Linked DNA regions of Macaca fascicularis. The main gene of each other region encodes a partner of the protein of the gene in region 3 in a complex. Links are inferred from orthologs where the notes say so. Each region holds a gene or a part of one and is shown on either strand. Other genes may lie near its edges.

Region 1 (6,227 bases), on a different chromosome or scaffold from region 3:
AAAAAACAAAAATTAGCTGGGTGTGGTGGCGGGCACCTGTAATCCCAGCTACTTGGGAGGCTGAGGCAGGAGAATCACTTGAACTCAGGAGGCGGAGGTTGCAGTGAGCCAAGATCACGCCACTGCATTCCAGCCTCTCCAGCCTGGACGACAAGAGACTCTGTCTCAAAAAAAAAAAAAAAAAAAAAAAATCTTCTTAGTTTATAAAGCATCCTTGAAAAAGATACTTTAGGCCGGGTACGGTGGTTCACACCTGTAATCCCAGCCCTTTGGGAGGCTGAGACAGGCGGATCACGAGATCAGGAGATCGAGACCATCCTGGTTAACGTGGTGAAACTCCGTTTCTACTAAAAATACAAAAGAATTAGCCAGGTGTGGTGGTGAGCTCCTGTAGTCCCAGCCACTCGGGAGGCTGAGGCAGAAGATTGGCGTGAACCCAGGAGGTGGAGTTTGCAGTGAGCTGAGATTGCGCCACTGCACTCCATCCTGGGCGACAGAGTGAGACTCCATTTCAAAAAACAAAATAAATAAATAAATAAATAAATAAATAAATAAATAATAAAGATACTTTATCATCTCATGGCTCAGTATCAGTTATCAAATAATTGAGAGAAAAGAAAAGAGCACTCCTGGGGGCATACAAGACAAATTTTAGCCACTTGTACTTAAGGCTGTTCTTGCCTTCCTTTCTGATGCAAATGTAAGTTGAATAATAATATAAGCAATAATAGCCATCAATGTCAGACCCTGGATTGTTTGCATGCCTTAGCTTACTTAATACATCCAATGCTAATAGGAGGTAGGTATTATTTTTTCCCATTTTACATCTGAAGAAACTGAGGTTCAGAGGTTCAATAACAAGACTAAACTCAGCTATTAGCCAAGCAACTGGACTTGAGCCCAAAGCTCTTAATGATTATCTTATGCTGTTATTTGTGTATAACTAATTTATCCCCCAGTTCATAACTTCTTTATAATTGTATCTATTAGGGTCAGTGATCTAACAAAAGTGTGGGTGAGAAAACAGCAAAAGACATTAAAAAGATGCAGCATGTGAAACTATACAGAGAGCAGATGTTAGGGAGGCACATCCGAGGGGGACTACGACCATCAACCCTGCTGTAGATTCGATCTCTCTCCATATGCGTTCTCTGAGCTTCCTCTGCAAATCACTAGGTAGCAATCATCACGCCATGATTTTTGGTTTACATGACTGTGCAGATAGATTATAACCTGACTAAAGGCAGGAGCCAAGTCTTAATTATTTTTCTACTCAGAGTACCTAGCAAGGTGCTTAAAATATAGTTGCCTCTTGACAACTAATACTCAGATACACAACAATTACGAGATGACTGGATGGAAGAAGTTGAAAAGAAGGCTGGAAAGGAAAGAAGGACATAAATCAACCACAGCTGGTGATGGGAACATTGCTTTCGTTCTCTCAGCAGTTCTTTCGTATATTTTGTATTTAGCGAGAGTCAAACACTCCAAAGAGACTGCCTAGATTTAAATCTTGCTCTAATCCACGCTGTGTGAGCTTGGGCAAGTGACCTAACTTTTCTAAGTCTGTTTTCTTATCTGTAAAATGGGAATAACAATAGAATCCACCTTTCTATTACTGAGAGGATTAAAGGTGATCATCCAAGCCAAGCTTTGAACAACCTACCTAGGCAACCAAGATTATTTTATTATTCTGATCATCAGTGTCAGGGCCATCTCTCTCCAATAACATTCTTATGCTACCAAGTTTTGCTGCTTATTTGTTTTTCTACAATTAAATGGTTGTCTCCTCTCCTGTGAAAATTTTTTTCATACAGACTGAAAGTCAGTTTAAAATAAGTAAAGTTGAAAGACTGGAATTTGCCAACAAAGTAAGTTGATGTTTCAGAACAGTGGATGTTATCACTTGTGACCTCACCTTGCCTCTTCTGTTTCTCATCTGCTAAATCTGACCCTGACTGTGGAAGACATTCATATGCATAACTAGTTACATAAGTAGACAAAATAATATCTGTTCAAAAGACTCATAATGATCTGTCTAACCATCCAGAGAACTGTTTTTCTCTCTAATAAACCATTAAATGGAATATAAGAGACTTTATATTGAGTAACCTAGCCAATAAAAATGAAAATTAAAACCAAGACCAGATTATTCTTATGTTTCACAATAACTGAGTATTCAGAAGATCTACTTATAGATGCCTTGATTATAATCTGAAATACAGTTATACTCAATATCTGTTCTTTCACACAGAAAAGAATTAGAAAATCAAATTTTACCTTATAAGGTATAGATAGATTGGGTTCCTGGTATCTCCGCCTTAATATTCCTATCATTAATAATATAGACCATAATGAATTCGTGAAAAAAATATAGTTTATCAAATCAATTAGACTTGTTAAGATAATTGCAAGGGATCCCAAAGTGACAAGTAGCAGCACAGCTGTAAATGGAGAGGAGTGACTATTAAGTGTATTAAATAGCAAAGGCAGCTGGCCCTCTTGGCTTGCAAGATATATTGGTCTCGATGATTTAAATATAGAAATCAGAAGGTTGCTAAATAATGAGGTAGAAATAGCAAAAGGCATAATCCATGCCAATGAGGGAAAAACTCGATTAGCCCATGTGATAGCTACAGCATCTGCAGGAAAACAAAAACACACAAAAGAAAACGTGTTAAAAGAGAAATACTAATGATAAACCCTTTAATATTATTTCAACATAAAAACATAAACTTAAGGAATAACATTCAATTTGCTTAATTTTATTGTTTATTTCCTTAGTTACACTTACATAACACCTTTTAAAGGTGTCTATTTGAGCCCTATCACACTGTATTGTAAATGGTTATCATTTTATATGTCTTCCCCAATAGACCAAGAATGTTTTAGAGGGCAAGGACAATCCATTTATTTTCTATAAAACTAGTGGCTCACTCTGTGACAGACATATAGTAGGCTTTCAATAAACACTTGTGAAATGAATTGATTTTGTTGAATGGACGATTGAATCCATGCTTATTTTCTAAAACTAGTTTATAGAGTCTTAATAGTTACATTCAGAGGCCAAAAAGCACAGTGCAACACTACTGACACCAGAATGAGACTTTCCCACAGCACAGTGCAATTTGAAATACTTCGCAGAAAAAGGAACCACGTAGAAGAAGAAAATAAATTACACACCATTAAAAATATGTATGACATTTGGGACTTTTCTATAGACCGATAGCTCTCAATTGGAGCTGAATTTACTCCTCAGGGTCATTTGGGAATGTCTGGAGACTTTTTTGGCTGTCACAACTGGGGAGGTAGAAGGTTGCTGCTCGTATCTGGTGAGAAGAGGCCAAGGATGTTGCTAAACATCTTATAATGCACAGGACAGTTCACTACAACAAAAAATTATACAGTATAAAATGTTCATGGTACTGAGATTAAGAAACTAACCATTAGAGAATATTCTACTTTTTTTTTTTTTTTTTTTTTTTTTGCTTAAAGATAAGAGACCTTACAGGTACTAATTTAATAAAAGTCCACAGGAAAAAAACGAACCTGTGAAGAAAAGCATCCACTGTTTGTGAGAATTCACTTGATTCAGTTCATATTATGTGAATATATGCTAGGACAGATCACTTGGTCAGAGAGAAACAAATTCTCAGTTTTTCAATGGAATGAGCACAATGGGGCCTGAGGTCCCTGGGGGTACGTGTCCTTGGAGCCTATGCTCTTGTACCAAGGTTGGTTTCTAGAGGGACTTTTGGGACATCAACATACTGGCTTGTAACACAAGGTAGGACTTCCCAAATGTGACAAAATTAAAATATCATTAATAGCCCTTGTTCTTAAAGATCTTTAATTTTTGTAACCCTTTTTAAATAGCCTCAAGTGCCATTTCACTTGTTTTCCTTAGTGCTATTCTACAACTTTGGATCTTCCTTAAAAATATCTCCTGTCTCATTTATTGTTCTTTTCAGGAAGATATTGTTAGTTGTTTTTCCCGGACACCCATACCTCCATAAATTTCACATTTTCAGTCACATTTCCAAAATATTTATTTCCAGTAATGCAAAGGAAATTCCCCTTCAATTTCCCTGTGTGCATTCTACAAACGTGGTTAGTTATAACTTGAGGAGGATCAGGTGCAGCTCTGTCAGTGCTGGCTGGCAAAAACGATACATCTTTCTACATCATCTTTAGCTCTATGCCATAAGGGATGTTTTTTCTTTGTTACACTTTCCACATGTTGTTTCTTCTCTTTTAAAAATGATTTCATATATGTTTTGGGTGAAAAGTAAAATAAATAGCACTGAAGCACATAAAGTGAAAAGTAAATGTCCCTCTCTTCACCAACCTCCCATTCATGCGCAGCAAATGTAACCACCATTAACAGCTGTTTGGATCCTCTTCCAGAAATTTGGTATGAATGTATAAGCACCGATTAGGGTTGTGTATGAGTGTGCATGTTTGTGTACGCTCACTTAGGCTTGTTTTTGCAGGTGCATCTTGCTCTTATTGGTACATTTGCATGCATCTAATTATTCTAGCAAATTCTCAGCATTCCATTATATAACTGTCAATGACTTTATCTACCCATTTCATATTGTTTTATTTGTAGTTTATGTTCAATTTCTTGCTAATATAAAATGGGCTTTAATGAAAGCACTCATGCCTTCCATTCTTGATAGTTGTTCAAATCTCCTTAGAGTAAATTCTTAGAAGTGGGACTTGTGAGTCCAAAGGTATACACATTTTAAAATAAGGATGATGTTACAAAATTGACCTCAGAAAATAATTGCATTAATTTACCAATAAATGATTCTAAAATTCTCACTTTCTCTTCAAAATTCTTTTATTATTATTATTTTTAATTTATTTATTTATTTATTGCCTATCATTGGCTATCTTTCCAAAATTCTTAACCATATCTGGGTACTTGGGACCAGCTACTTTTAGGCTGTATCTGGACAGGGAAACCTTCTCAGCTTCTGCTTCCATAAAATGTATTTACTGTTTTAGATTATCTTGTCCCATGCCAATTTTCTCTAGTTTTAAATATGGCATGGAACTCTCAAGAAAACCAAATGTGAGCACCCTGTCAGCAGTCTGTGGTAGGACTTTGGGAACAATGAAATCCTCAATTTTCAAAACTGGGACAGGGCTCCTCACTAAGTCATTTCCATACCCCTTGTTCTAGAAGAACACCCTTCCCTTCTCAGTTGTGGTACTTATTCACAATAAAGGCTTTTTTTTTTCCCCCCCTAGGAGGAAAATATGTGAAGAAACAAGTCAGAGCTCTGACATGGACACAGATGAAAATGTTACATAATTAATACCATTGTTTCTTTTTCTATGTAAACCACAAATATTAGAATCTAATATTTATCACAGCCTGGTATAATTCTTTCAATGTTCCTTAAATAAAATGCAGCATACAATTCATGCCATATCATAGATGCTCTATATTCATCTGGGAACTTTTCACATTTTTTACATATACCTGTTTGAAAAAAATACATCTCTTAATCTTTAAAATTTCTTAATTTGAGAACCTAGGTTTGGGCCTGGTGGTTCACGCCTGTAATACCAGCCCTTTGAGAGGTCAAGAGGGAGAATCACTTGAAGTCAGAACAGCCTGGCCAACATGACAAAACCCTATCTCTACTAAATATACAAAAGTTAGCCAGGTGTGATGGCCCATGCCTGTTATCCCAGCTACTCAAAAGGCTGAGGCACAAGAAGTGCTTGAACCCTGGAGGCGGAGGTTGCGGTGAGCAAGATTGTGCCACTCAACTCCAGCTTAGGCAACAGAGAAAGACTCTGTCTCACAAAAAAAAACAAAAAACAAAAAAACAAAAAAAAAAAAAACCTATTTCTTTTGCTTATAAGTTCCCCCTTATTATACAAATTTTGCACCTTAAAGAAAATGTGTAATATTCAGTGCAAACAATAAAGTAAAAATCATATACAATATCATTCCTGTTGATCACCATTACTAGCTACTTATTTACTGTTTTACATCATTATATTCATCCTGACTTTTTCCTCATTATTGAATTATAAACATTATCCCTTTTCTTCAAGTGTCCATCAACAATATCATCTTTTACAAATCACAGAATATTCTGTTATATAGATGTCCCATAAATTTTTTATTTGTTTCAAGTTTATTGGATATTTTTATGATTTTTAATTTTTGCTATCATACATAAAGCTATGATTACTATACCTAT
Region 2 (6,931 bases), on a different chromosome or scaffold from region 3:
TGAAGTTTCCAGCGCCCGTGTTCACCTGTCTGGGAAGAGGCTGGGCTTGGAGTCAGATTGCAGGGGATGAAGGGCTCCCAGCTGCAGGCTGCCACCCTGGGGACTCTCCGCACACCAGCGGGATCCCTGGGGAGCAGCGTCAGCTTTCAGGGCCAGGACGCACTTCCAGGACAGGGCTCAGCTCTCCTCCTCATCTCAGCCCTGTTTGGCTCCAGAGTCCTCCCTCCTGCTGAGGGACTGCCTGGGTTCTGATGTGGGTGAGGCCTGCATTCACCCTGAAGCTGCCTGACTGAGGGGTAGACCCAGCTCAGATTTTCAGTTTTTAGAGTCAGGGTCTTGCTCTGTCACCCAGGCTTGGAGTGCAATGGCACGATCATGACTCACTGCAACCTCGATTTCCTGGGCTCAAGCGATCCTCCCTCCTCAGCCTCCCAAAGTGCTAAGGTTACAGGCATGTGCCGCCACACCTGTCCCCAGCTCAGAAGACACATCTGGGGATTTCTCAGCTGTGCTCTGTGGCCACTGGGCCCAACAGGGTTCCAAGAGGCCCTTGCTGAGATCAGGCCTGAGACTGGCCGAGAGGGAGAGGGCTGCAGCCCATCGTCTACCTCCTGGGGACCCCAGTCCCAGGCCAAGCCATTCAGGCCATTGCCAGCCCCCTGGTCAAGTCCTAAAGCCTTGGTGCGGTCCCTCCTCCATCCCCTCTGCTGCCAGGCATGGGAGCTCTCGGAGGCCCCACCCACACCACTGCCCTGGAAGCGGAAACCATCCCGAGCTTGCCTAGGGCTGCCTTTCCTCCTCCTCGGAGCCTGAAGCCCTCCCCGCTCCTCCATGCTCAGCACCTGCTGCTCCCAACTGCCTGGGCCTGCCGCGGTGACCCGTGTGGAGCTCCTTTCTGCCTTCCCACAGCCCCAAGCTCCCTTCCCCTCCAGGCCCAGGGCCAGCCCCAGCTGCTCACTGCACCCCAACTCAGAGCGGCCGTCCCTGGTAGATGCCTCTAAGACAGAACAGGCTATGCTGGGGGCAGTACTTCCCCTTACTACAGCCATTCAGACATAAGAGGGACAGGCATTTAGAGGGGACTCAACCATCAGAACACCCTCTCTGGCTGGGCACAGTGACTCACGCCTATAATCCCAGCACTTTGGGAGCCCGAGGTGGGAGGATGGCTTGAGCCCAGGAGTTCCAGACCAGCCTGGGCAACACAGCAAGACCCTGCCTCTACAGAAAAAAATTTTTTGAAAAGTTAAAAATTTGCCAGGGCATTGTGGTGCACCCCTGTAGTCCCAGCTACTCCGGAGGCTGAGGCAGGAGGATCACTTGAGCCCAGGAGGTCGAGGCTGCAGTGAGCCATGATTGTACCACTGCACTCCAGCCTGGGTGACAGAGCAAGACCTTGTCTCTAAATTTTTTTTTTTTTTTAATTTTTTAAAAAGAGGCCCTTTCTGACCATTCCTGGAAAGGTCATTAGTTTGAACAAAACTACTGGCCCCTCTAGACATTTGCCCAACACACAAAAGCACCCAGGTATGAACTTAAAATAATATGTGGGCCGGGCAAGTTGGCTCACGCCTGTAATCCCAACACTTGGGAAGCCAAGGTGGGCAGATCTCTTGAGGCCAGGAATTGGAGGCCAGCCTGGCCAACATGGTGAAACCCTGTCTCTACTAAAAATACAAAAATTAGCCAGGCATAGTGGCACATGCCTGTAGTCCCAGCTACTCAGGAGACTTAGGCAGGAGAACTGTTTGAACCCAGGAAGCAGAGGTTGCAGTGAGCTGAGATCAAGCCACTGCACTCCAGCCTGGGCGACATAGCAACACTCTGTCTCAAAAAAAAAAAAAAAAAAATGCAGCCGGGTGCAGTGGCACACACCTGTAACCCCAGCACTTTGGGAGGCCGAGGTATGAGGATCACCTGAGGTCAGGAGTTCGAGACCAGCCTGGCCAACATGGCGAAACCCCATCTCTACTAAAAATACAAAAATTAGCCGGGTATGGTGGCGGGCGCCTATAATCCCCACTACTCAGGAGCCTGAGGCAGGAGAATCCCTTGAACCGGGGAGGTGGAGGTTGCAGTGAGCCGAGATGGCGTCACTGCACTCCAGCCTGGGCGACAGAGCAACACTCCATCTAAAAAAAAAAAAAAAAAAAAAGAATATACAGAGTTCCCTGGTGAGAGGGAAAGAGGGAAAGAAGTAGGTCCAGAGATTGTCCCTTTAAAGATGTAATTCACAAATCAAAGAGCACATCTTCTGCCGTGTCACTAGGGATCGGCCCGGATTTCACTGCCTGCGCCCCTCGTTCAGACGCCCTTGCCTAACCTGCAAAGGGCCCGCCCCGCCAGAGACCGCCTTACCTCCTTTTGGAGATTGGTGGTCTTGGGCTCTTGGCTCTGGATCGACTTCTCATCCTCTCTCCGCTTTCTCAGGCCAGTATCCCCCATGTTTCCTCCTGCTGGTTCCAGGAGACTGCAAGGAAGGCGCACAGCTGAATCTTGGTTCAGCAGCAGCAAACAAGATGCAAGTGCAAGCTCGGCCTGGACTAGGGGAGCTGGCTCCAAAAGCACAGTGTTGGTTACTGCGACAGGCGGGGGCCGCTGCCAGTCCTGCAGGGCTCATGCGCTGGGCCCCAGAGTCAAAGTCAGTCATTAACACTGTCCAGGCAGGGGAACACAGCTCCCCGCTGTTCTCCAAAGCTCAGCTGCTTGCTTAGCTTTCTCCCAGACAGGCCCCGGGAGCCTTCTGGCCCACGTGCCTGTGCCTTGAAAGTTATTCTACCTCCGTGGTCCAACTTCATTTTTTTTTTTCAAAAGTTAAAAGAAATATTTAACAACATCCTGGGCTGGGCACAATGGCTCAGGCCTGTAATCCCAGCACTTTGGGAGGCCAAGGTGGGCGGATCACTTGAGCCCAAGAGTTTGAGACCAGCCTGGCCAACATGGCGAAACCCCGTCTCCACTCAAAATGAAAAAAAAAAAAAAATTAGCTGGGCATGGTGGCGGGTGCCTGTAATCCCAGCTACTCAGGAGGCTGAGGCAGGAGAATCACTTGAACCTGGGAGGTGGGGGTTGCAGTGAGCCAAGATCGTGCCACTGCACTCCAGCCTGGGCCACAGAGCGAGACTCCGTTTCAAAAAAAATAAAATATAAAAAATTTAAAAATGAAAATATTGTGGAATGTATTTATCAGAATCAAGTCCAGGTAAGGAGTGTGTGTCTTATAATTCCTTCCCAAGATTAAAGACACTCCCCTACATCACAGAGCCACAATACAATACAGGTACTTTTTCTTTGTACTTTTTAAATTTTTACAATATTTTTTTTGTAAAGATGTGAGTCTCGCTATTTGCCCAGGCTGGCCTCCAACTCCTGGGCTCAGGCAGTCCTTCCACCTTGGCTTCCCAAAGGGCTGGGATTTCAGGGGTGAGCCACCGCGCCTGGCCAGGTACTTTTTCATTAAGTGATGAAAGGAATGAAAACATTGCCAAGGAAACCCAGTTCCAGACTGAATTAGGAGGTAACCATGCACCACTGTACCCTCTCTCTAAATAAATTCTCTGTCCAGGCCCCGGCCAGGAGAGCCATGAGCCTTTCTATCACCCACGGACCTTACCTTCCTCCGTGACCCTGCAGAGCCGGAGAAGCTGCGGCCCAGCTGACCGCCCGTGCCTGCACGGTCCAACCCTAGGAATGGCCATGTCTTGTGCCCAGGAGTGAAGGAAGTCCAGAAGGTACAGAGGTCAATAAAGGTAATTATTAAACACCTTTTTTTTGGTTTTGTTTTAGCCATGAAGCTTAGATACGCCACACAAAAAGGGGAGGGTGAGGCAGACCAATTTCTCTCCAAAACTGTTTTTGTTCATTTGTGTCTAGGTCAGATTATTTTTTTAAAACCAGATAGTCCCAAATCATCTACACTTTTTACCTAAAGATAAAATAAATTATGCCTTCTTTTATCTTTGGGAATCAGAGGAGGTAAACTTTGGAACCAATTCTCTAATTGCTTTAATAGGCTATATTTAAAACCCAAGTCAGGCAGCTCAAACAGGAACTGCTGTGTGTGTGTAACTCAGCTGTTTGTCAGTTTCCTCCCTGCCCAGGAAATTCCCCCAAGCCCCAGGCCTGCCTCTGGCTGAGCAGGTGAGAGCGGTTGAGCCCGTCCCACTCCTCTTTACCAGTGATGGGGCTTCACCACTTGGAGCCATGAGCAGGCCTGAGGCAGTGCAGGCCCCCACGTCCTCCCTGCAGCTGTGGCCAAATGCCCATCAGATTTGGCTGTGGTGCTGTTCACGTAGCCCTGTCCTGGCTCATCAGACACAAGGGACACAAAACCTTCCCCATCGGGGAAACAGAGGCCTATGGGGGGACAGGAAACACATGGCCAGGAAGCTCCGGTCCCCATCCAGGGCTGCCAGGGTCTGGATGTCTCCGGGAGGGAGCAGAGGTTCTCCCGCGCTGCGACTGGACCTTGGGTCAGGCGGCAGCCTCAGAGGTCAGCACTAAGCCCTTTCAGATAGGGAAGGAAGCACCTTATGAGACAGTTAGGACAGCCTGGCACAGCATAAGCACTGCGTGTGAAGCATTGTAGCTGTTATCTTCAGCCAAAACTCTGGTAGCTTTGCCTCGAGGCAAACCTAACTGCATCCCAGATATTGGATGGAAGCAAAGGTCAGGGGTGGAAGGAGCTGGGCGAGTCTCTGGGGGACAGTTTGGGGCAAGCAGACCTGAGAGAGGCACAGGTTTCTCTCAAAGCCGTCTGCAGAGCACAGGAACCTGATTTAGAAGTTCATCAGCTCCAGGCCGGGCGCGGTGGCTCACTCCTGTAATCCCAGCACTTTGGGAGGCCGAGGCGGGTGGATCACCTGAGGTCGGGAGTTCAAGACCAGCCTGACCAACATGGAGAAACCCCGTCTCTACTAAAAATACAAAAAATTAGCCAGACATGGTAGCACATGCCTGTAATCCCAGCTACTCGGGAGGCTGAGGCAGGAGAATCGCTTGAACCCAGGAGGCGGAGGTTGCAGTGAGCAAAGATCGTGCCATTGCACTCCAGCCTGGGCAAAAAGAGCGAAACTCCATCTCAAAAAAAAAAAGAAGTTCATTACCTCCCATCTTGGGAGGGCACAGCCTGTTTACCTGCCTGCCATGCCCAGAGCCCTGAGCAGAGAGGCTGGAGAGTAGACGCCAGGGGCTGGCGGCAGGTCCTGCCACCCCCAGACAGAACCTGCCCACAGGCTTGCTGGGGTCACTCCTCCTAATGCTGCAGCCTCGTCATAGCACCTGGCACATCCATGTTTGCAAAACACCACAGAATACTCCCTGGGGAAACGTGCTCCTGGCGGGCTGACAGGAGACCACATGAGGAGGGCAGGGTGGGGCAGTGGTCCCCTGCTGGGGCCAGACACCAGACAGCCCTGCAACCTCACCCACTCCCCACATGGGCTCAGGCAGCACTGCCAGGATCAGGATCTGAATCTGCAAAGCGGGGCTAGCAACAGGCGCCTCCTCGTGGAACACATTGAACTTGCGTGTTCCATGAATGTCCAGGAATAGACCTCTGCCAAGTGCCGAGTTTGGAACGTCAGGGTGTGAGGGTCCTTCGTTAAGTCAGAAACCTCCACTTCAGTTCATTTTGGGTCCACGGTGAGCATTTCTTAAGCCTGTTTCTTAAAGTTGTGTTTTTCACCCCAGTCCCACCCTCTCTCTCCCTTGAATACACAGAAAGTATTCAAGTAATTCTCATAAGCTCTTCCTCATGGAAAATAATACAGATTTGATTTAAAAAGCAAAATTTTCCTCAGTTCTTGAAGATTGTTGGTTCATTGTGTATCCAGTGCTTCTGCCATGTGGCTGAAGTTTCACCTCCCTGCTGTCAATTTTTTTTTTTTTTTTTTTTTTTTTTTACATGGAGTCTCATTCTGTCGCCCAGGCTGGAGTGCAGTGGCTTAATCTTGGCTCACTGCAACCTCGCCTCCTGGGTTTAAGCGATTCTCCTATCTCAGCCTCCTGAGTAGCTGGGATTACAGGCATCCACCACCATGCCTGGCTAATGTTTGTGTTTTTGGTAAAGACAGGGTGTCATCATGTTAGCAGGCTGGTCTTGAACTCCTGACCTCAAGGGACCCACCAGCCTCGGCCTCCCAAAGTGCAAATCCTACTGTCATTTTTACCATTTTGTTTATTTATTCTGTGAGACTGAGTCTTGCCCTGTCACCCAGGCTGGAGTGCAGTGTCATGATCTCAGCTCACTGCAACCTCCACCTGCCAGGTTCAAGCGATTCTCCTCCCTCAGCCTCCCGAGTAGTTGGGACTACATGTGTGACACCACGCCTGGCTAAGTTTTGTATTTTTAGTAGAGACAGGGTTTCACCATGTTGGCCAGGCTGGTCTTGAACCCCTGACCTCAAGTTATCCACCCGCTTCAGCCTCCCAAAGTGCTGGGATTATAGGCGTGAGCCACCACGCCTGGCTAACCACTCTATTCCTTAAGTTTCTGCTAAAGACTCTTGACCTTCACTTTCAACCCGTGCTTTTCCCTTCTGATTGCAAAAATGCTTGCAGGTTGAAGATCTTCACACCATCTGCATTTTGTCTTATATTTGGTGCATATTTGGTTTCAGTTGGGGAGAGTAAAATGCTTCCCTCCACCCTTCTGGGTTCTTTGGTCAGGCTTCAAATTGAGACCAATGGGAGGAAAACGGTTCTAATTATGTATATAAGCAACAGAGTCCCACAAAACAAGAGACTTGAAGAAGGGCCAGATGACTAAACCCTATATAGCATCCTGAGCTATATAAGGATTAGGGGCTTGGGGCTTCTGGGGCAGGTAGGGACGAGTAATGGAATGGTGAGGGGAGGAAATGCATGGCAAATAAAGGTCGTCTGGTTATGCAGATATAAATCTCTCAGGTAATAAAAGTTGTCTCCTCCT
Region 3 (6,227 bases):
TCCTTTCCAGGGTCATTTGGATGTATTTTTATTAAAATGGCATTGTCTGAGATTTATGACTTAGTATCTCTCATCACTCATGATCATTTTTAAAGACTTTGTTAATCTGATAGAAAAAAGTGCCATTGTTGGCTGGGCGCGGTGGCTCATGCCTGTAATCCCAACACTTTGGGAGGCCGAGGTAGGTGGATCACCTGAGGTCAGGAGTTTGAAACCAGCCTGCCCAACATGGTGAAACACTGTCTCTACTAAAAATACAAAAATTAGCCATACATGGTGGTGGACGCCTGTAATCCCAGCTACTTGGGAGGCCAAGGTCGGAGAATCACTTGAACCCAGGAGGTGGAGGTTGCAGTGAGCCAGGACCACGCCATTGCACTCTAGCCTGGGCAACAAGAGTGAAACTCCATCTCAAAGAAATAAAAAGAAAAAATTTCAGTTTTAATTTACATTTTCTCCAACTTTGCTGGTATGGATTTTTATATGTAGGATTTCGTACATACTGTATTCAGATTGGCTATGGGAATATTTTAGACATAATGAAAATCAAGAGGCATTCAACCCAAAACACAAATGTTAAATATATTTTTTGTGTCTTCAAGACCTACAGCTATATAAAACAAAGCTTATACTGTCCAGGAATTCTCAGTGGTGTTTGTAGCAGGGAGCTGTGGGAGCATGAGGGTTTGTGTGGCTTTCTGTATCTGAATATCCTGGGGAGTTTCCTCAGATTACTCAGTAGACTGGGATGGGGCATGGTGTGTGTGTGTGCGTGCAGCAGGGGGGTGGGGGTTGTGCTATGCATTTCTTAGCATTTCTTAAGCATCTCCATGTGGCATCTATAATTTCATTTCCCCTAAATTGATTTAGTTTGTTTTCCAGTGAAGTTTTGGCTACTGAATGATATTAGTGCTTGATCATTGTGGGAACAGAAAAAAGGGCAAAAGCCAAAGTGGTATTAGTATACCAGAGCAACCACTTCAAGGATCATGTATGGCTTCTGTTTCTTCAGAACAGTAGTGTGGATTTGAGCCTTGCTCTGGGTTGATGATCTCCTTCCTGCCTGTGTGGCTGCCTATCCACCCACACGCCTCTCTCACCACATTTTGAGGGGAAGAGAAGAGGAAGGGTAGCTGGGCTAACTAAAAAACTTCTATAAAATTTCCTTCATAGCTCAAAGGCCTTAGTAAAGGTCATTCTAATGAAGACTTGTATATTCTGTATGATACTTCACTTCACTTGGTAGATTTCTACCAGTTTGTATTTTCACAAAGGCATGATTTACAAACTCCTTACAAATTGAAAACTACAAGGGAAGTCTTTGATTGATGTAAAGAGTATCTGTGAAGGTTTAGACACATTCAGGGTGAGTGTGTACTTTCAGTAGAAACCCACTTCTTGTTTCTAAAATCAACATAAAATTTTCACTCATACTTACATCAACATTCACAGTGTGGTAATCTGAATTGGTGGGTAACCAGGTGTAACTAGCTTCAGAAAAACCAGCATTTGAACTGTTGTCCCACTGCATTGGTGACTTTGAGTGGAGGGTATTCTATATCAAAAGACCAGAAAGGGAAAACAGTGGTTTGGTTATTAAAAGAAATGTACTTTGGTCCTGATTTACTTCATAATTATTTAATTCCCTATAGTTCTTAGCTAGTGTCTGTACTCATTAGCATTTGTGATGAAAAGGCCTTAACAATAGGTACATAAACCAGTTTCACACTTTTAACTGGAAAGTACCTAATAACATTTTGAGTTTGAATAGACAATACTAATTTAACATTTTGAGTTTGAATAGACAATACAAATTGAACTTTAATACATGCTTGAAATCTTTGCTGCTTTTTCCTAAAAATCAGTAATATAGGATTTCAAAGTGTGCTATTACCAATATACATGACTTCTGTGGTACAGTGATGGTGAATTTAAGAACACTGCCATGTACAAGTGAGTGTGAATTCTATTCTGCTCATTTATTCAGCCTGGTTACTGCTCATGAGTGCACACACACAAATGTAGGAGCTAATAGAAAAAAAAAAAGCTTCACCTTAATCAAATATTAGGGAAATTGGATCTCATACAATTGAAGGCTAACCAGGCAAATTAAAGTTGCAAGACAGTCATCTACACAGCAACACAATTCTGAAATCTATAGCTACAGAATAAAAAATGCTTGACGTTGAGGCTGTGCACTGCACATGATAACAGAAAAGAAAGGGTCTTTGTGCTATGGTCACCCAAGACCAAACAGGACAAATGAGAACTAAAGAAATAAGTGTTCCTAACTCCACATTTCAAGCAGAGGGAAATGAATAATATTCTAAACTAAACCACTGGTTCTCCAATTTTAGTGTGCCTCTCAACACAGTATTCCCAGCAAATAAATAAATAAATAAATTTTAATGTGCCTGTCAGGTAGAAAACATCTTTAAAATGCCCTACCCAAGAAATTTAGTTGGTGGCTCCAAAAGCATTTTTAAAATAAGCTCTCAAACCGCCAAGAAAGCTGAGAATTCCTACTAACAGTAAGAAAGAAAAGCAAAGTAACCATGATTTTCAACAATGGAATAGAGAGATAGTAAGTTCTCTGATTTGGCAAAAAATAAAAAATGAATACTTGGTTTTATAGCTGTGATGAATAGTCAAGTTGTATTCAACTTACAGTATCATAGCTTTCATTGAGATTTATGGCTACAATATTTCCCATTCCAATTTCTTCTCCATAGTAAGTTATAGGAGTTCCAGGCAGTGTGAAAAGAAGCATGTTCATCACGTTGACATACTCATTCCCCAAACGAGAAGTCAGCCGGGAACTGTCTGGTCCACCAATCTGAAAGGCAGATATTTTTAAGAACACAGCTCTATAACACAGTTTTCTGAAAGATTTACCCTATTTCACAGAAAGTTCACCAGGTAGCAGAACAAAGTAGATATGGTACCTTGTTACTAGCAAGCCTGAACTTGAGTCCTAGGCCTGCTATTTGCTGTGTAAGTGACCAATTTATTATCTTGGCCACTGATGAGCAAGAAAAGAGTGGTAAGAATTTACAATGATATTGCAAATAAAACTCAGAGGGTACATACATAGTCATATTTTCTCATATCTGGATAAGAGAATATTGACAGGAAAGGAAACAAAACTGTTGCAGAGAGCAAGACAATGGAACAAGGTGAAAGGACAGGCATGAGAGACTTCTGACGTGTCCTCTTTTAAAAAATTGTTTTGACTTATGAACTATTCGGACAAAATTTTTAAAGTAAATCAACTTTTGGAAAGAATTTACATAGTCCAAGATGAAATGTTATAAAGTGTTTTCTATTTGTAAATATATTTCCATGTTAAATGTTCTAGCCCTTATTTAAATAAGAGTTTGTTTAAATAAGAATTTATTTAAATCACCTGACAACTCTCCATAACCCACAACTCAAACCCTCACGTGCATAGGCTGAGCATGGCACTTTACTTTTTAAAAAGTACTTTCACACCTATATTTCCCTCCTTCACACAACAGTGCAAGTACTATCTCCATTTTACAAATGAGGAAACAAGCTCTGAGAAATTGCATCATTTATTCAAGTAGTAGTATGAGACAGAACTAGCATTTGAACTTGAGTCTTAGGATAAGACTTAATTGCTACAATTCAAGAAATAGGAGGTTGCTTTTTTTTTTAACTTCCTAGGATGTATGAAAATGATCTTTATAATTATGTTTTTATAGACCATTGTGAAGTATTTTTTTATATTTATGGCCAGAAAATTAGGTCAATTTTTGCCTCCATCTTTTTATTCTTTTCTCTATCATGAGATCTTCTGATAAGAAACCCTTTGATTTCTCAAGCCTTCTGGACATAGAGCACAACAAACACTGGGAAAGGAAGAATGTGATTTCCAGAATTGTCATACTACTTAAAATGTCCAGTTTTTAACAACAACAACAAATATACAAAACAGGGAAAGAAAACAGGAAAATATGGCTCATATAATGGTGGGGGCAGTCAATAGCAAATGTTGCTTAGGAAGACCAAACATTGGACTTACTAGACAAAGACTTTAAACCAGCTAATATTTTGATATTCAAAGAAAAGAGCTGTGTCTAAAGAATTTAAAGTATATGAACAGTTATCAAATAGATAAAGAGAAATTATGAAAAAATTAAAATTTTAGAGTTAAGTACAATAGCTAAAGTGAGATATTTACTAGAGGGACTTGACAATTTGAACTAGCAAAGGAATCAGAAAACTTGAAGACAGGTCAATTGAGAGTATCTGGCCTGAGAACCAGAAAGAAAAAATAGAGAAGAATGAGGCCAGGTACTGTGGCTGCCACCTGTAATCCCAGTGCTTTGGGATGCCAAGGCAGGAGGATTGCTTGAGCCCAGGAGTTCTAGACCAGCCTGGGCAACATGGTGAGACTCCATGTCTACAAAAAATTAAAAATTTAGCCAGGCATGGTGACATGCACCTGTAGTCTCAGCTACTCAAGAAGCTGAGATGGGAAAATTGTTTGAGTATAGCACGTCAGGGTTGCAGTGAGCCATGTTTACACCACTGCACTCCAGCCTGGGCAACAGAGCAAAACCCTATCTCAGAAAAAAGAGCAGACTCTCAGAAACCTGTGGGATACTATCATGCATACCAACATATGCAAAGTGGGAGTCTCAAAAGGAGAGAAGGGAGAGAAATGGTCAGAAACAATATTTGAAAAAATAGCCAACAACTTCCCAAATTTGATTTTTTAAAAAATTGTGTATCTAAGAACCTCAGTGAACTCCAAGTAGGACAAAATTTTTAAAAACCCACACTTAGACACTATCAGTCAAACCGTTGAAAGACACAATCTTTAAAGGAGCAAAGAAAATTGGTACATCACATGTAAGGAATCTCAATAAGATTAGCAACTGACTTAACAGAAACCATAGAGGCCAGAGGGCAATGGGATGATATATTCGAACTGATGAAAGAAAGAAATGTAAACCAAGATTTCTATATCCAGCAAAACTGTTATTCAGTAATGAGAAAATGAGATACCACTTCATATGTACTATGATGAGCATAATTTCTAAAAACAAGACAGAAAAGTGTCAGGGAGGATGAAAAGAAATTGGAACCTTCATGCATTGCTGATGGGAATGTAAAATGGAGAAGTCACTATGGAAAAGTTTGGTAGTTCCTCAAAATCAGAGAATTATTATATGATCCAAGGCTGGGCACAGTGGTTCACATCTGCAATCCTAACACTTTGAGAGGCCAAGGCGGGAGGATCACTTGAGCTCAGGAGTTCAAGACCAGCCTGGACAACATGGCAAAACCCCATCTCCACAAAAAATACAAAAATTAGCCAGAGATGGTGGCATGCACCTATAGTCCCAGCTACTTGGTGGGAGCTGAGGCAGGAGGATTGCTTGAGCCCAGGAAGTCAAGGCTGCCATGAGCCATGTTCACACCATTGTATTCCAGCCTGGGTGACAAAGTGAGACCCTGTCTCCAAAAAAAAGGCTGGGTACGGTGGCTTATGCCTGTAATCCCAGCACTTTGGGAGGCCAAGGCAGCAAATCACTTGAGGCCAGGAGTTCCAGACCAGCCTGGCCAACATGTCAAAACCCCATTTCTACTAAAAATAAAAAAAATTAGCCAGTCATGGTGGCACACGCCTGTAATCTGAGCTACACAGGAGGCTGAGACATAAGAATTACTTGAACCCAGAGGTGGAGTTTGCAGTGAGCCAAGATCATACCACTGCACTCCAACCTGGGTGATAGTGAGACTCTATCTCAAAAAACAAAACAAAAACAAGAAAGAAGTATTACGTGATCCAGCAATTCCACTCCATGGTATAGATCCAAAAGAATTGAAATCTGGGGCTTAAACAGATACTTGTACACCATTGGTTTGTAACATTATTCTAGTAGCCAAAAGAAGGCAAAACCACAAATGTCACCAACAGATGAATAGAAAACATGTGTTACATAGGTACCATGGAATGTTATTCAGTCATAAGGAGTAAGATGTGATACATGCTATTGTGTGTATGAAGGGAACTTGGAAACATTAAGCTAAGTGAAATGAGGCAGACACAAAAGGACAAATATTGTTATGATTCCACTTATATGAGGTACCTAGAATAAGCAAATTTATAGAGGCTGAAAATAGAATGGAGGATATCGGGTTAGTGGTGGGAGTGAGGAATTAATGTTTAGTGGGTACAGATTTTCTGTTTGGGA

Evidence for each region.
Region 1: the proteins of SLC3A1 (region 3) and SLC7A13 are in contact, whole or in part, in a cryo-EM structure (PDB 8WK6), measured with the Homo sapiens proteins. The link is inferred for Macaca fascicularis from reciprocal best matches to the Homo sapiens genes SLC3A1 and SLC7A13. Residues at the interface, in NP_000332.2 of Homo sapiens: Pro64, Tyr65, Ala66, Gly67, Met68, Pro69, Lys70, Leu73, Phe76, Ser77, Arg81, Tyr82, Pro85, Arg86, Leu89, Phe90, Thr93, Ser96, Val97, Leu100, Ile101, Thr104, Ile107, Ile108, Ser111, Cys114, Leu115, Glu194, Asn195, Asp202; in NP_620172.2 of Homo sapiens: Ile120, Phe123, Phe124, Pro125, Ser126, Cys127, Leu132, Pro133, Cys136, Leu137, Leu139, Ala140, Met141, Trp143, Ile147, Arg151, Lys187, Thr265, Arg267, Asp281, Arg282, Glu450, Cys454, Tyr455, Gln457, Leu458, Leu459, Phe460, Asn461, Ile462.
Region 2: the proteins of SLC3A1 (region 3) and SLC7A9 are in contact, whole or in part, in a cryo-EM structure (PDB 6LID), measured with the Homo sapiens proteins. The link is inferred for Macaca fascicularis from reciprocal best matches to the Homo sapiens genes SLC3A1 and SLC7A9. Residues at the interface, in NP_000332.2 of Homo sapiens: Pro64, Tyr65, Ala66, Gly67, Met68, Pro69, Lys70, Leu73, Phe74, Phe76, Ser77, Tyr82, Pro85, Arg86, Phe90, Thr93, Val97, Leu100, Ile101, Ala103, Thr104, Ile107, Ile108, Ser111, Cys114, His201, Asp202, Thr373, Glu374, Pro375; in NP_001119807.1 of Homo sapiens: Cys137, Phe140, Tyr141, Val142, Gly143, Cys144, Pro147, Ile149, Val150, Cys153, Leu154, Ala156, Ala157, Leu160, Phe161, Thr164, Leu168, Thr279, Thr281, Asp295, Arg296, Tyr299, Tyr343, Val346, Arg347, Lys467, Thr470, Met471, His472, Gln474.

What each region holds. Positions count from the first base shown.
Region 1 is NC_088382.1:95,959,131-95,965,357, forward strand, and holds part of SLC7A13 (solute carrier family 7 member 13), read right to left. Parts: intron 2,643-6,227; coding exon 2,281-2,642; intron 1-2,280. UniProt on the Homo sapiens protein: Associates with SLC3A1/rBAT to form a functional heterodimeric complex that transports anionic and neutral amino acids across the apical plasma membrane of renal epithelium.
Region 2 is NC_088393.1:40,135,906-40,142,836, forward strand, and holds the start of SLC7A9 (B(0,+)-type amino acid transporter 1), read right to left. Parts: upstream 3,693-6,931; 5' UTR 3,614-3,692; intron 2,557-3,613; 5' UTR 2,446-2,556; coding exon 2,359-2,445; intron 1-2,358. UniProt on the Homo sapiens protein: Associates with SLC3A1 to form a functional transporter complex that mediates the electrogenic exchange between cationic amino acids and neutral amino acids, with a stoichiometry of 1:1.
Region 3 is NC_088387.1:77,737,653-77,743,879, forward strand, and holds part of SLC3A1 (amino acid transporter heavy chain SLC3A1), read right to left. Parts: intron 2,837-6,227; coding exon 2,669-2,836; intron 1,556-2,668; coding exon 1,439-1,555; intron 1-1,438. UniProt on the Homo sapiens protein: Acts as a chaperone that facilitates biogenesis and trafficking of functional transporter heteromers to the plasma membrane.